Linked DNA regions of Oryctolagus cuniculus. The protein of the gene in region 1 purifies or fractionates together with the protein of each later gene. This does not show direct contact. Links are inferred from orthologs where the notes say so. Each region holds a gene or a part of one and is shown on either strand. Other genes may lie near its edges. The genes, in order: SELENOS, DERL2 and DERL1.

Region 1 (4,076 bases):
CTTTGCAAGTGGGAGGAAGGCATCAAGGCACCAAGTAAACCCCTTCCCAGTCTCCCCAGACTCGGCCAGCCTCCCAGGCCTGCTCCCACATCCAGAGCCCTCCGTCTCCCGGTGTCAGGCCATTTTCAAGGTGGCTGTCAGGTGAAGGGGCCCTGGACTTGATGTGGCCCGTGACCTCCAGTGCCACAGTGGGAATCTGCTTCCCAGCCCCCGGGGCATGCTGGGACGGGCAACGACTCTGCACACCAGCAAGGAAGAGCAGTGGGTCTGTGCCTCATCTCACTGTACTGCAGTCACCCTGGTGACGACAGGTGGCAAACTCTGATGTTACCACCTGTTCCCTAGTTTCTCAATTCGTTATGCTCCTGAACCTCGACTCTTTTGAAATACAAGTCGGTATGTGTGCTTCAACTGCTTCTCAAAGAAACCCTCGGGGTGCAGGTGTGGCCTAGTGGTCAAGACACCTGCATCTCACGTGGCAGTGCGCAGGTTCCAGCCCTGGGTCCCCGAGCCCAGCTTCCTGCCCTCGGGAACCCTGGGAAGCAGCCCGTGGAAGCTGAAGTGGCTGGATCCCCGCCGTTCACGTAGGAGACCTGGATGGAGTTCCGCGGCCAAGCCCTGGACACTGCGGGCATGTGGGCAGCGACCCAGGGATGGGGGTGCTCAAGTCTCTGAAATAAAAATAAATACGGCTTGAGGTCAAATTTCCAAATCGGTGGATACGGTGGGCATGAGCGGTGTCACGTGAGCCGTGGATGACGCCCCAGGACACCTGCTAAGAGCCAGACCGTGCAGAAGACTCTGGCCCACGTGGTACTGATCCAGAGAACCCCGAGGGTCGGCGGGGTTTTTTTTTGCCCGGCAGCAGGCGGCTGCCCTCGGTGGCTGGGGGTCGCCAGCCCCTGAGTCCCGCTGCCCAGTGCGCCCGGGCCAAGGACACGGACGCAAATCCCACCTCCGCGCGCATCCTCACTTCCTGGGCCTCAGGGTCCAAGCAGGAAGAAAGCACGCATGCAGCAAAAAAATCAGGGAAAAGGGGTCAGTCGCCACTCGCACCCACCGCGGGCCCGGCCCCGCCCGGGACGTGTTGGGCGGGTTTCCGCCGCTCCGGGGCTGACCACGCCCCCGACCACGCCCCCTCTGCCACAAGCTGAGCCGCGATTGGACGAGATCGCGGTCGCGTCCCGGCGCGCCACGTGTACGCAGCGACGAGCCGGAAGCGGCCCGCTGGAGGCGACGCGTCCCGGCCGGGCGGCGGCGGCTGTCATGGAGGGAGAAGGCGAGCTGCTGTCCGCGCGGCCGGCGCTGGAGACCGAGGGGCTGCGCTTCCTGCACGTCACGGGTGAGTCGCCGCGGGCCGCGGCCCAGCGCGCCGCCATGTTCGGTGGGTGGCCCGGTGCTGCCGCGGCCCTGGCCCCGGGAGGCCTAACCGGCGGCCGGGCGCTGACGCCGGCGGGGACCCGGCGCGGCGGGCGAGCCCCTCGGGTGTCTGTCCCCGGGCCCCGCTCGGGTCCGTCCTGGGCCTCCGACGCCCGGCGCTGTCACCTGCCAGGGGGCTGAGAGGCCTCGCTCCTCGGGGGTCCCGGCGCTGTAGCCTGCGGGCTGGCCCGCCGAGGTCCGCGGACGGGCGGGGGCGCGGCTCTCGATTCTGAAGGCTGTCTTCTTCCTTGCAGTGGGCTCGGTGCTGGCGAGCTACGGCTGGTACATCCTGTTCAGCGGCATCGTCCTCTACGCCGTCCTGCAGAAGCTGTCCACCCGCCTGCGGGGCCTGCGGCAGAGGCAGCTGGCCGGCGCCGAGGCCGCGCTGGGTCAGTGCGCGATCCCGTGTTAGCCTGCACCAGTTAGTCCTTGTTAGGGGCGTGGGAGCCTGGACTTGATTTCGGGGGCATGGGAGGTGTATTTTTTTTTTTCTTTTTTTTTTTTTTTTAATTTCTGGGATTTTAAATCGGCCGGATGGTACGCACAGCACTCAGGGCGGCGCCTGTTAGTGGTGGTTCGTTTACGGCACGGGTTAAAATGAACCCTTGATGGGTTTGCCTCCTAACTCGAGTTATGCCAAGGAGCATGGAGCGCCACATTTTGATTGTCACGACATCGCCCATCAGACCCGATTTCTAGTTCCCCTGAGTGGTGACGCTTGCACTGGTTAGGCACTGCGTCCCAGACCTGCCGGCCAGGCCCGGAGGTCGTGGTCGCGTCGGCCAGCGGTGCGGTTGTGCAGAGCCAGCTGTCGTTGGTCCGGAGGGGAAGGTGCAGGCTACATACAGACCAGAGAGGAGAGGGCTTCGTCGGGGGTGGTCACTTCTAGTCAAGGAACCCCAGAGTGCCCTCACCTCTGTCTGTCGCAGGCCTGACCTGCTGAGACGATGGAAGAGGATTCTGAAAACTCTGTCCTTGATTGACAGCTGGATTCGGGCCACCCTGCTAGGGAGGACTCCCCATTGTGTAACGGAGTCTCACTGCGGCCAGCAGACCGCCTGCGTGTTGCTCGCGGGGCCACTGCCCCACAGCCCTGTAGTTGGCATTGCCGGGAGGGGCTCAGAGACCTGCGCTTGCAGATGCAGTGTAGGGCGATGGTCCAGTCCCCTGCCCCTCAGCTGCAGAATACACGCAGAGGACGGAGCTGCTTGTGGGAAAACCTTTTCTGCTTCTACTATGTGCATGCGGGTTTCCATCTTAATTGTACCTGGTGCTGAACCTCAAGTCTTTTCTGCCGTTTTAGAACCCGATGTTGTCGTTAGACGGCAGGAGGCTTTAGCAGCCGCTCGCCTGAAAATGCAAGAGGAACTCAATGCGCAAGTTGAAAAGCATAAGGAAAAGCTAAGACAGGTATGAGCTGGTTTTGCTCTGTCGTCTGAAACTGAGGCTTCATGACAGCTCTGTGTGTGTGTGTGTGTGTGTGAGTGTGTGAGTGTGTGAGTGTATCTGTGTTGTTGTTTGTAAGCTTCAGGACAGGGGCCTATTCCATCAGGTGCAGTGGGTATTTTGGGCCCACTTGCAAATCCAGGTGCCGTCAAGGCAGACGTGCTGTGGCGTGGAGGGACGGCTGTGTGGCTGCCACAGTGCAGGAGCAGGTTGTCCCCTCGCCCGTGCCTGTTGGGAGCAGTCCCTGTGGCAGTCCCTCCCACCGAGCTGGGTGCGGCTCAGCGTGCATTGGTTGTGCAGTGTGCACTCTTAAAGACAGGAGGCTTTTGTTCCAGTGTTTCCTGCTTGGTGCATTCCGCAGAGCTGGTCACCCCACAGCATCCTGGCCGGGTCTCGGGCTGCAGAACACACAGACACGCTGTGCCTCTCGCCCCGTAGCCCCTGTGAGCTGGTGTCACAGGGCCCTGAGGTGGGGTGCCCTGGAGGACAGCAGACGGCTCAAGCAAGGGTCGTGCTAACAGGTGCAGGTGGGAGCAGAGGATACAGTTTTGGAAGATTTTTTAGGATGCAGGATTTGATTGGAAGAGGAGGTCAGCAGAGAAGCCGAGGAAGAACCAGGGGACGCTGCAGGCAGCTGGAGGGATGGAGGGGAGGAGAGATGGAGGGGTGGAGAGGATGGAGGGGTGGAGGGTGAAGGGATGGAGAGATGGAGGGGTGGAGGGTGGAGGGGATGGAAGGGTGGAGGGATGGAAGGATGGAGGGATGGGGAGTGGAAGGGTGGAGGATGGAGGGGTGGAGAGGATGGAGGGGTGGGAGATGGAGGGGTGGAGGGATGGAGGGGAGGAGGGATGGAAGGATGGAGGGATGGGGAGTGGAGGGGTGGAGAGGATGGAGGGAAGGAGGGTGGGGGTGAAGGGATGGAGGGATGGAAGGATGGAGGGATGGGGAGTGGAGGGGTGAAGGGGTGGAGGGAAGGAGAGGTGGGGGGTGGAGAGGATGGAGGGAAGGAGAGGATGGAGGGATAGAGGGTGGGGGGTGGAGGGATGGAGGGGAGGAGGGATGGAAGGATAGAGGGATGGGGAGTGGAGGGGTGGAGAGGATGGAGGGGAGGAGGGATGGAAGGATGGAGGGATGGGGAGTGGAGGGGTGGAGAGGATGGAGGCATGGAAGGGTGGAGGGGAGGAGGGATGGGGAATGGAGGGATGGGGGAA
Region 2 (4,341 bases), on another chromosome or scaffold:
ACCCCTGGTCTGCCTCCGGCATCTCACCGCCAGAAAACTGTGACAAGCACTTGCGTAGGAGGTCTCCCTTGGGCCTGGCAGGGCCTTTGCTCAGGCAACTGCTGGGCCACAGTTTACTGAAACACAGTTTCACTAAATATTCCTAAATGAGCGCCAGCACATCCAGACTGGCTTTACACTCACTCGCAGCACGTAAGTAAGTTTCTCTCATATCTTTGTCAGCCCTTGACAAACTCAACATTCTACCTGTTGCCAATTTGGTATGTGTGAAATTGCTGTATATTTTCAAAAACCAAAACACCTAGCCCCACACACTGGTCGGACACTACAAACTACCTACATCTCTCTCCCCAGGCCCCCGATGTCTACACTACTCTGAGTTTACTATTCTGAGAGTAGGACAGTCTCCTTATTCAAACGGCTGGATCATTTTGAACTCCCCCAAAGACGGACCAAAGCTTCGACAGGAAGCACGGACAATCTGCACCCTAAGATTCTCTGAAATCCTTGCCTGGCCATTTCCAACAATCCTAGACTGTTTTATCAAGCCCCTACACTGAAAGACCCACCCTTGAAGCAAACCTTCCATTTAAAAAAAAAAAAAAAAAAATCCGATCTTGCTTTTCTTCTCTACCAGGCACGGCCGAAGCTCTGTCGAGGTTCCATCACTGTTTTATCAACAAGCCGTGAGGGTGATGCTCGGGGGGGGGGGGGGGGAGGGTTTCACCTGCACCCTGGGAGATGCAGGTGATGGCTCAAGTACTTGGGTTCCTGCTACCTACATGGAAGACCCAGATGGAGCACTGGGCTCCTGGCATTGGCCTGGCCCAGTTTGGGCTGTTTCAGACATCTGGGGAGTAAACTAGCAGATGGGAGATAACTGTCTGTCTCATCTTTCTGCTCTTCAGTAAATAATATTTCACATCCTTTATAGAAACCACCCCAGCCTTCTATTTGATTCCTTTCTAAAGAGCCCGCAACCACGCCGGACAAGACCCAGAAGCCACAGGGCAGGAACCACTTCCGGCCGGAGCCCGCATCCCGTCGGGCCCCGCGGCCCCGCGGCATGCCGGGACCTTCAGGTAGGAGCTAGCGGCCAGGCCGGCGGCGAGGCGGACCCGGCAGGCCGCCCCGTCGCCCCCGCTAGGATGCCTAGTCCAGTCCCGCCCCTTTTCCGCGCTTCCTCAGAGAAAATGCAGCCCCGTGGCACCTACCGTTGCGGCCTGCAGGGCGATGAGGTCCACCAGACACCGACTTCCCGCCACCTCCTTTAAACTACCGCTAGCTGCCGGAGATGGGCGGTGGCGAGAGCTGACCCAAATGCGGACCGGTGCGCGCCTCCGCGAACGAAAGCAAAGGCGGGATGCTGTCCCTCTCCTGATTGGCTGGCTGTCCGGTCGGGCAGGGGCATCCTGATTGGTGACGGAGAGGGGTCAGGTGGGAAAGCTAGCTGTGGCCAGCGGGGATTGGCAGAAGGTACCGACACTCAGTCGCTTCTCGCTGACGTCAGTGGGCGGAGAAGTAAGGCTGGGACGCCACGATTGGTAGCTGGCTGATTGCGCGGCGCTCATTGGACAGGAGCGAATAGGCTACCGCGGGCGCTAGGAGCCCGCCCCGGCGCCCGGGCCTATTGGCGGAAGGGGAAGTGGGGGGCAGGCGGCGGTGGGGAAGATGGCGTACCAGAGCCTCCGGCTGGAGTACCTGCAGATCCCACCGGTCAGCCGCGCCTACACTACCGCTTGTGTCCTCACCACCGCCGCCGTGGTGAGCAGCTGCAGAGCCACCTTCTAATTATCCGGGCTGAACATGACTGGGTCTCGCGGAAACTGGAGTTTGGGCTTCGGCAGGCCCGGAAGGGGCTGGTCCCAGGGGTGGGTGGAGGTCTACCAGGGCTCACTCTGGGTTGCGGAGCGACCCCAGGAAGATGTGCGGATCCCTGAGGGGTCGTGTCGGTTTCCGAGAGCGAAAAGTCGGACCAATAGCGGGTCAGAGCTGCGGGCGCCGCCCACCCAGGAGCTCCGGCGCTGGCCAGGTGGTAGCGCGGTGGTGACTGGTGGGACGCAGATCCGCGTAGCGAAGAAACTTAAGTATTGAGGCTAGAAAGTTGAGCATTGTAGGGAGGGAAATGTCTTAAAATAAAGAAGGGATTGGCCGGAGGAACAGTGGCAAGGTCTCCAGGGTTGGTTATTTGCAGGCACTGCCTTGTGTCACCCAGCTGTTGGAGTTGGCGCCCGTGTGATGAGCAGATTCTTAGCAACTGCGCCCAACTGTCCTGTGTCTAAAATATCACCGCCTGCCTGCCTCCCTTGTCGGCCTCAACTGTTGCAATCTAAAACTATTTTTTAAGACCTTCATTTGTAAATTCCTTTTCTGCCCCCTTTAAGCATTTTTATTTATTTATTTTTAATTCCAGAGACAGATATTCCATCTGCTGGTCCCCTCCTTAAATGCTGGCAACAGCCAGGGCTGGGCCAGACCAAAGCCAGGAGCCTGGATCTCAATCTGGGTCTACCACCTTGGCTGGCAGGGACCCAAGTACTTGGACCATCAGCTGCTGCCTCGCAGGGTGTACATTAACTGACAGCTGGACTCCAAAGCAGAAGCAGAACTTAAACTCAGACACTCTGATAATGGGATGTGGGTGTCTCATGTCATCTGCGGTGCCAGATGCCCACCTTGCAGTCTTTCCTTTCTAAAAAAAAAAAATTTTTTTTAAAGACTTATTTGAAAGGCAAAGTTACAGAGAGAAGGAGAAACAGAAATCTTTCACTTGCCAGTTCGCTCCTCTAATGGCTGCAACAGCCGGAGCTGGGTGGGTCCAAAGCCAGGGGCCAGGAGCTTTTTCCGGGTCTCCCACTTGAGTGCAGGGGCCCAAGGACTTGGGCCATCTTCCGCTGCTTTCCCAGGCCATAGCAGAGAGCTGCATTGTAATGGAGCAGCCAGGACTCAAACCGGGGCTGCTTTCCCAGGCCATAGCAGAGAGCTGCATTGTAATGGAGCAGCCGGGACTCAAACCGGGGCCCACATGGGATGCCAGCGTCTCAGGTGGAGGCTTCACCTATTACAGCACAGTGTTGGCCACCGTAAGAATTCTTACTTACACCTGGTCGACCCCAATCTTTCTAGTTTTGTATTATGTGTCAAAGAGCAAGAATTGTATCAATGTAGGGAATTCTTTACCAACCCTTTCTTCTGGCCCAAGAAGAAACACTTAAAGGAATTCAACCTGAGTGACTAAGAATTGGAATTTGTTACATCCTTTGTTATAAAGGATGGAATTGTGTTTCTTGATTGACGTGCTGAAAGCAGCTCTTTTTTCATTTCAGCAGTTGGAACTGATCACACCTTTTCAGTTGTACTTCAATCCTGAGTTGATTTTTAAGCATTTTCAAGTAAGTAGCCCAATGCAACTGTGAGGAATGGTCCCGTTTCTTCTCTTGCTTAATGTTTCGTAGCAAACCCTATCATATGCTGTCTCGAAAAATAACCCAGTGAAGATCTTTGACTTTAAGTCTGGTGAAGCAGCGATTCTGCAGCTTCACAGAGTCCCCTCAGGGTCACTTAGGGAACTTTTAAGAGATCCTCACACTCCTCATCGCGTAACCAAATCACAGTCAGCAAGGGTAGGAACTAAAAACCTGTATGCTTGTGATGGGTCTAGCTTCTGTATTTGTGTATCGCTGGTTTACAGTTAAGTGTTAGTAGTTTGGGAGGAGTCTGATGAGTCTCATGGAGTGACCTTATTTTGTTCATTCCCTACCTTGGCACAGCCACCACTTTGGTGTTTTCGCCATGGGCCAGTTCAAAAATTGAGTTGTTAGTGCTTTAAAAAATTGATCCATTTTCCAGGGGTCAGATCATGCTAACAAAACTCCAAAGAGCCAACATCTAAAACACCATGCTAGTTTATTAGATGACGGGGGAGTGGATTAAAATGCTGAGCTAGACATGTGTTTTCCTGCGCTAGGATGATGATTGAGGCTGAAGTTGGAGTGGAGGAGAGGCCCAAGCGGCAGTAGTTCTGCCTGTCTACACCCTCTCCCCTTTCTCCCAAGTGTGTTTCATTCCCTGTGCCCGTGCCTCTGTCTTGCCTTTCAAGGCGCATCTTTTGTGGGCCTGCTTGGATCCATTCTTTGCACTAGAGCATGTCTCACCCTTACTTGCAGTTATTCGTATGCTTGTCTCATTAGGATGAGGACCTTAAAGTCCTAGATGGAATTAATTTGTAGGACTGAGTGATTTCAACTGTAGTACTCACTAATTCTCAAGAACTTCATGATTCGGGACGCCGTCCTGTGATCTCACGTTGTTTCCTTCCTTCAGTGCTCTCATGGCTGTTGC
Region 3 (3,598 bases), on another chromosome or scaffold:
TGATTGGGTATAAAGAGAAGAAAAGATAGTTCAATTGAAAACCCTAAAAGCTATGGGAGGGACCGGCACTGTGGCTTAGAGATTAAAGCCTCTGCCTGCAGTGCTGGCATCCCGTGTGGGTGCCGGTTTGAGTCCTGGTTGCTCCACTTCTGATCCAGCTCTCTGCTATCGCCTGGGAGGGCAGAAGAGGCTGGCCCAAGTGCTTGGGCCCCTGCACACGAGTGGGAGACCGGAAGAGGCTCTTGGCTCCTGGCTTCGGATCAGCTGAGCTCTGGCCGTTGCAGCCATTTTGGAAGTGAACCAGTGGATGGGAGACCTCTTTCTCTGCCTGTGCCTCTCTGTAACTCTGCCTTTCAAATAAATAAATAAACCTTAAAAAAAAAAAAAAGCTATGAGAAGCTTCTAGGGTGGGAATTACATCAATATCGTGTCCATATAACCAATATATTGTTTAGATTCATTCAGAAAAATAAAATATTGAGACTAACCAAGAAGATTGACAATATAGTAAGAGAAAATAAGACAAAATAATAAGAGAAAGGGGAGGGAGGGGCCGGTGCCTTGGCTCACTTGGTTAATCCTCCGCCTGCAGCGCCGGCATCCCATATGGGCACCGGGTTCTAGTTCTGGCTGCTCCTCTTCCAATCCAGCTCTCCACTGTGGCCCGGGGAGGGCAGTGGAGGATGGCCCAAGTGCTTGGGCCCCTGCACCCGCATGGGAGACCAGGAGAAGCACCTGGCTCCTGGCTTTGGATTGGCGCAGCACCGGCCGTAGCTGCCATTTGGGGAGTGAACCAACTGACGAAAGTCCTTTCTCTCTCTCTCTCTCTCACTGTCTATAACTCTGCCTGTCAAATAAATAAATAAAAAAGGGGAGGAAGATTTAACTATTCAACTTTATCAGATATTAAAATTTATTATAGAACTAGATTAAAACAACTTGGTATTGGTCTAGACCTCAGTTTCAAGCAGGATAGTCTAAAATAGACATTAAGATAAAATAGAATAAATATTCAGTGAAAGTAGTTTTTTTAAGTAATTGGAGGAAATATGGGACACTCTGTCAATGGGAATGGGAAACTGAGTGACCATCTAGAAAAAGAAGGTGAATTTCCTCCTTACTCCTTGGATGAACTATGAAAAGTGCTATAATAAAGCTGTGAGCACTTTGATATTCTTGGAGTGAAAATATTTCATAAGCTTGATAAATGGTGGATACACTTACTTACATTTAATTTTGTTTTAATTAATTTATTTGAGAGGCAGCGATGACAGAGAGAAATGGACATCCAGAGAGCTCCTGTTCCATCCACTCTGCAAGTGTTCACAACATGCCCTGGCTGGGGCCAAAGCTGGGTGCTTGGAACTCAGTCAGGTCTCCCACGTAGGTGGCAGGAACCCAGTTACTTCACTATCACTCCTGCCTCTGAGGTATGCATTAACAAGAGCTGGAATCAGGAGTAGAACTGGGACTCGAAACCAGGCATTCTGATGTGGGATACAGGCATCTCATCTATTGGGCCAAATGTCTGTCCTCGTTGCTACCTTAGAGAGAGGTCTTCTATTCACTGGTTCACTCCCCAGGTGGCCGCAATGGCCAGAGCTATGCCAATCTGAAGGCAGGAGCCAGGAGTTTCTTCCAGGTCCCCCATGCAGGTGCCATCTTCCACTGCTTTCCTAGGCCACAGCAGAGAGCTGGATCAGAAGTGGAGAAGCGGGACTCGAACTGGTGCCCATATGGAATGCTGGCACTGCAGGCAGTGGGTTTACCTGCTATGCCACAGCGCCAGCCCCCTGTTACTTTTTGAAAATAATATTGGTACAAAAACCTCATCAGTTGTTGTTAACAAGGCTTATTTCTTACTGCAGATCCTTCTGTATTGTTTGTTCAGGTAATGGTTTTTATGTCATGTGTGCTCATTTTGTCTATTTAGCCAATTTTTTTTTAGTAAAAATCCCTGTTTAAATTCTTTTTGAGTATGACATTTTTGAATAAGGTTTATCATTCCTAAATAGAGATATTATGAAATTATTGTACTGTTGGGAAAGAAGTCTTTGCAATTCATTTTGTCATAGGCTTAGTTGTATGATCTCAGTAACTAAAGATGTAATTCTTTTTTAAAATGTTTGTTTATTTATCATCATCTACTTTAAAGAGGGACAGAAAGAGGGATCTTCCATCTGCTGGTTCACTCCCCAGATGCCTGCCACAGTCAGGGCTGAGCCACGCCAGAACTCCATCCACGTCTTCACATGGGTGGCAGGCACCCAAGCACATGACCCGTCTTTGGCTGCGTTCCAGGATGCATTTGCAGGAAGCTGGATTGGAATAGAGGAGCTGGGATTCAAATTGGCATTCTGATAAAGGACACAGGCAGCCTAAATGTTCCCCAACACCTGTCCCAACCATGTACTTCTATAACATTGATTTTTTTTTAAAGATATATTTATTTATTTGAAAGAGTTAGAGAGTGGGAGAAGCAGTGGGGGAGGGGGAGGGGTCGTTTGTCCACTGGTTCACTCCCCCAATGGCTGCAATGGCTGGAGCTGGGATTATTTGAAGCCAGAAGCCAGGAGCTTCTTCCAGGTCTCCCACGTGGGTGCAGGGGCCCAAGTACTTGGGCCATCTTCTGCTGCTTTTCCAGGCCATAACAGAGAGATGGATTGGAAAAGGAGCAGCCAGGACTAGAACCAGTGCCCATATGGGATACCAGCACCGCAGGCTGTGGCTTTAACCTGCTGTGCCAAAGGGCCAGACATTGATTTTTAAGAGCTTGTTTAGAAATACTTATTGCTTATCCATTGGTTTGCAAATTGATGTGATTGTAATTTATATGAACTTTTCTTCAGTTGTTTTGAATTGTGTTGGTAGTATCATTTTGAGAAAGCTTTGCAAAGGTTAATTTAGTTAAAAGAAAAAAAATTAATCAGGCTTAGAAAAACTAACAAATGTCTTTATTTTGATTTTGACAGATTTGGAGGCCAATCACTGCCACCTTTTATTTCCCTGTGGGTCCAGGAACTGGATTTCTTTATTTGGTCAATTTATATTTCTTGTATCAGTATTCTACTCGCCTGGAAACAGGTAAGTCATCTGTAGATGTAAATATTTTTTTCTTCTGATTTGCTAATTCATATGTTTCTTTTCTTGGAGGAATTTTGAGGGCAGGTAGCATTTGGTAAGAAATGGCGTAATGATTGTGTTTGCTCAGTGAATGCCAGGACTGTGCTAAGCACTGAAGTTGTTTGTCCTTTACTCTGTAAAATGTCAGGAAGTATAAGTAGCACTTTTTTTTTTTTAGCTGAAAAAAGAACATATTAGAGGTTTACGTTTCCTGCCTGTCTCTTAGTGGCTCAGCTGTGTGCTTCTCACTTGATTAGATGATCTCATTCATTTCTGTTGTAGAGCAGTCCTTGTCATTTAGTGCAAAATTGGGTTGGAGTGTATATGTTGTCTGGAGTGGGCTTGAGAAGTACTACTTTGTGCAATTAGAAGCCTAGAATTGCTCTCTCTAATTGAAACACTCAACTTTGAAATGTATAGCCAAGATTTAGTAATGTGGTAGCGTCCGATATGAATCCCTGTGTGATGCTTTGGG

What was found.
Region 2: the proteins of SELENOS (region 1) and DERL2 purify together in Homo sapiens (affinity purification with western blotting; 3 studies listed by BioGRID and IntAct, with this or other methods). This does not show direct contact. The link is inferred for Oryctolagus cuniculus from reciprocal best matches to the Homo sapiens genes SELENOS and DERL2.
Region 3: the proteins of SELENOS (region 1) and DERL1 purify together in Homo sapiens (affinity purification with western blotting; 6 studies listed by BioGRID and IntAct, with this or other methods). This does not show direct contact. The link is inferred for Oryctolagus cuniculus from reciprocal best matches to the Homo sapiens genes SELENOS and DERL1.

The regions. Positions count from the first base shown.
Region 1 is NC_091443.1:10,471,395-10,475,470, reverse strand, and holds the start of SELENOS (selenoprotein S), read left to right. Parts: upstream 1-1,209; 5' UTR 1,210-1,266; coding exon 1,267-1,384; intron 1,385-1,673; coding exon 1,674-1,808; intron 1,809-2,722; coding exon 2,723-2,829; intron 2,830-4,076. UniProt on the Homo sapiens protein: Involved in the degradation process of misfolded endoplasmic reticulum (ER) luminal proteins. Participates in the transfer of misfolded proteins from the ER to the cytosol, where they are destroyed by the proteasome in a ubiquitin-dependent manner.
Region 2 is NC_091448.1:50,846,029-50,850,369, forward strand, and holds the start of DERL2 (derlin-2), read left to right. Parts: upstream 1-1,522; 5' UTR 1,523-1,671; coding exon 1,672-1,764; intron 1,765-3,326; coding exon 3,327-3,392; intron 3,393-4,341.
Region 3 is NC_091437.1:148,811,679-148,815,276, reverse strand, and holds part of DERL1 (derlin-1), read left to right. Parts: intron 1-2,972; coding exon 2,973-3,084; intron 3,085-3,598. UniProt on the Homo sapiens protein: Functional component of endoplasmic reticulum-associated degradation (ERAD) for misfolded lumenal proteins. Forms homotetramers which encircle a large channel traversing the endoplasmic reticulum (ER) membrane.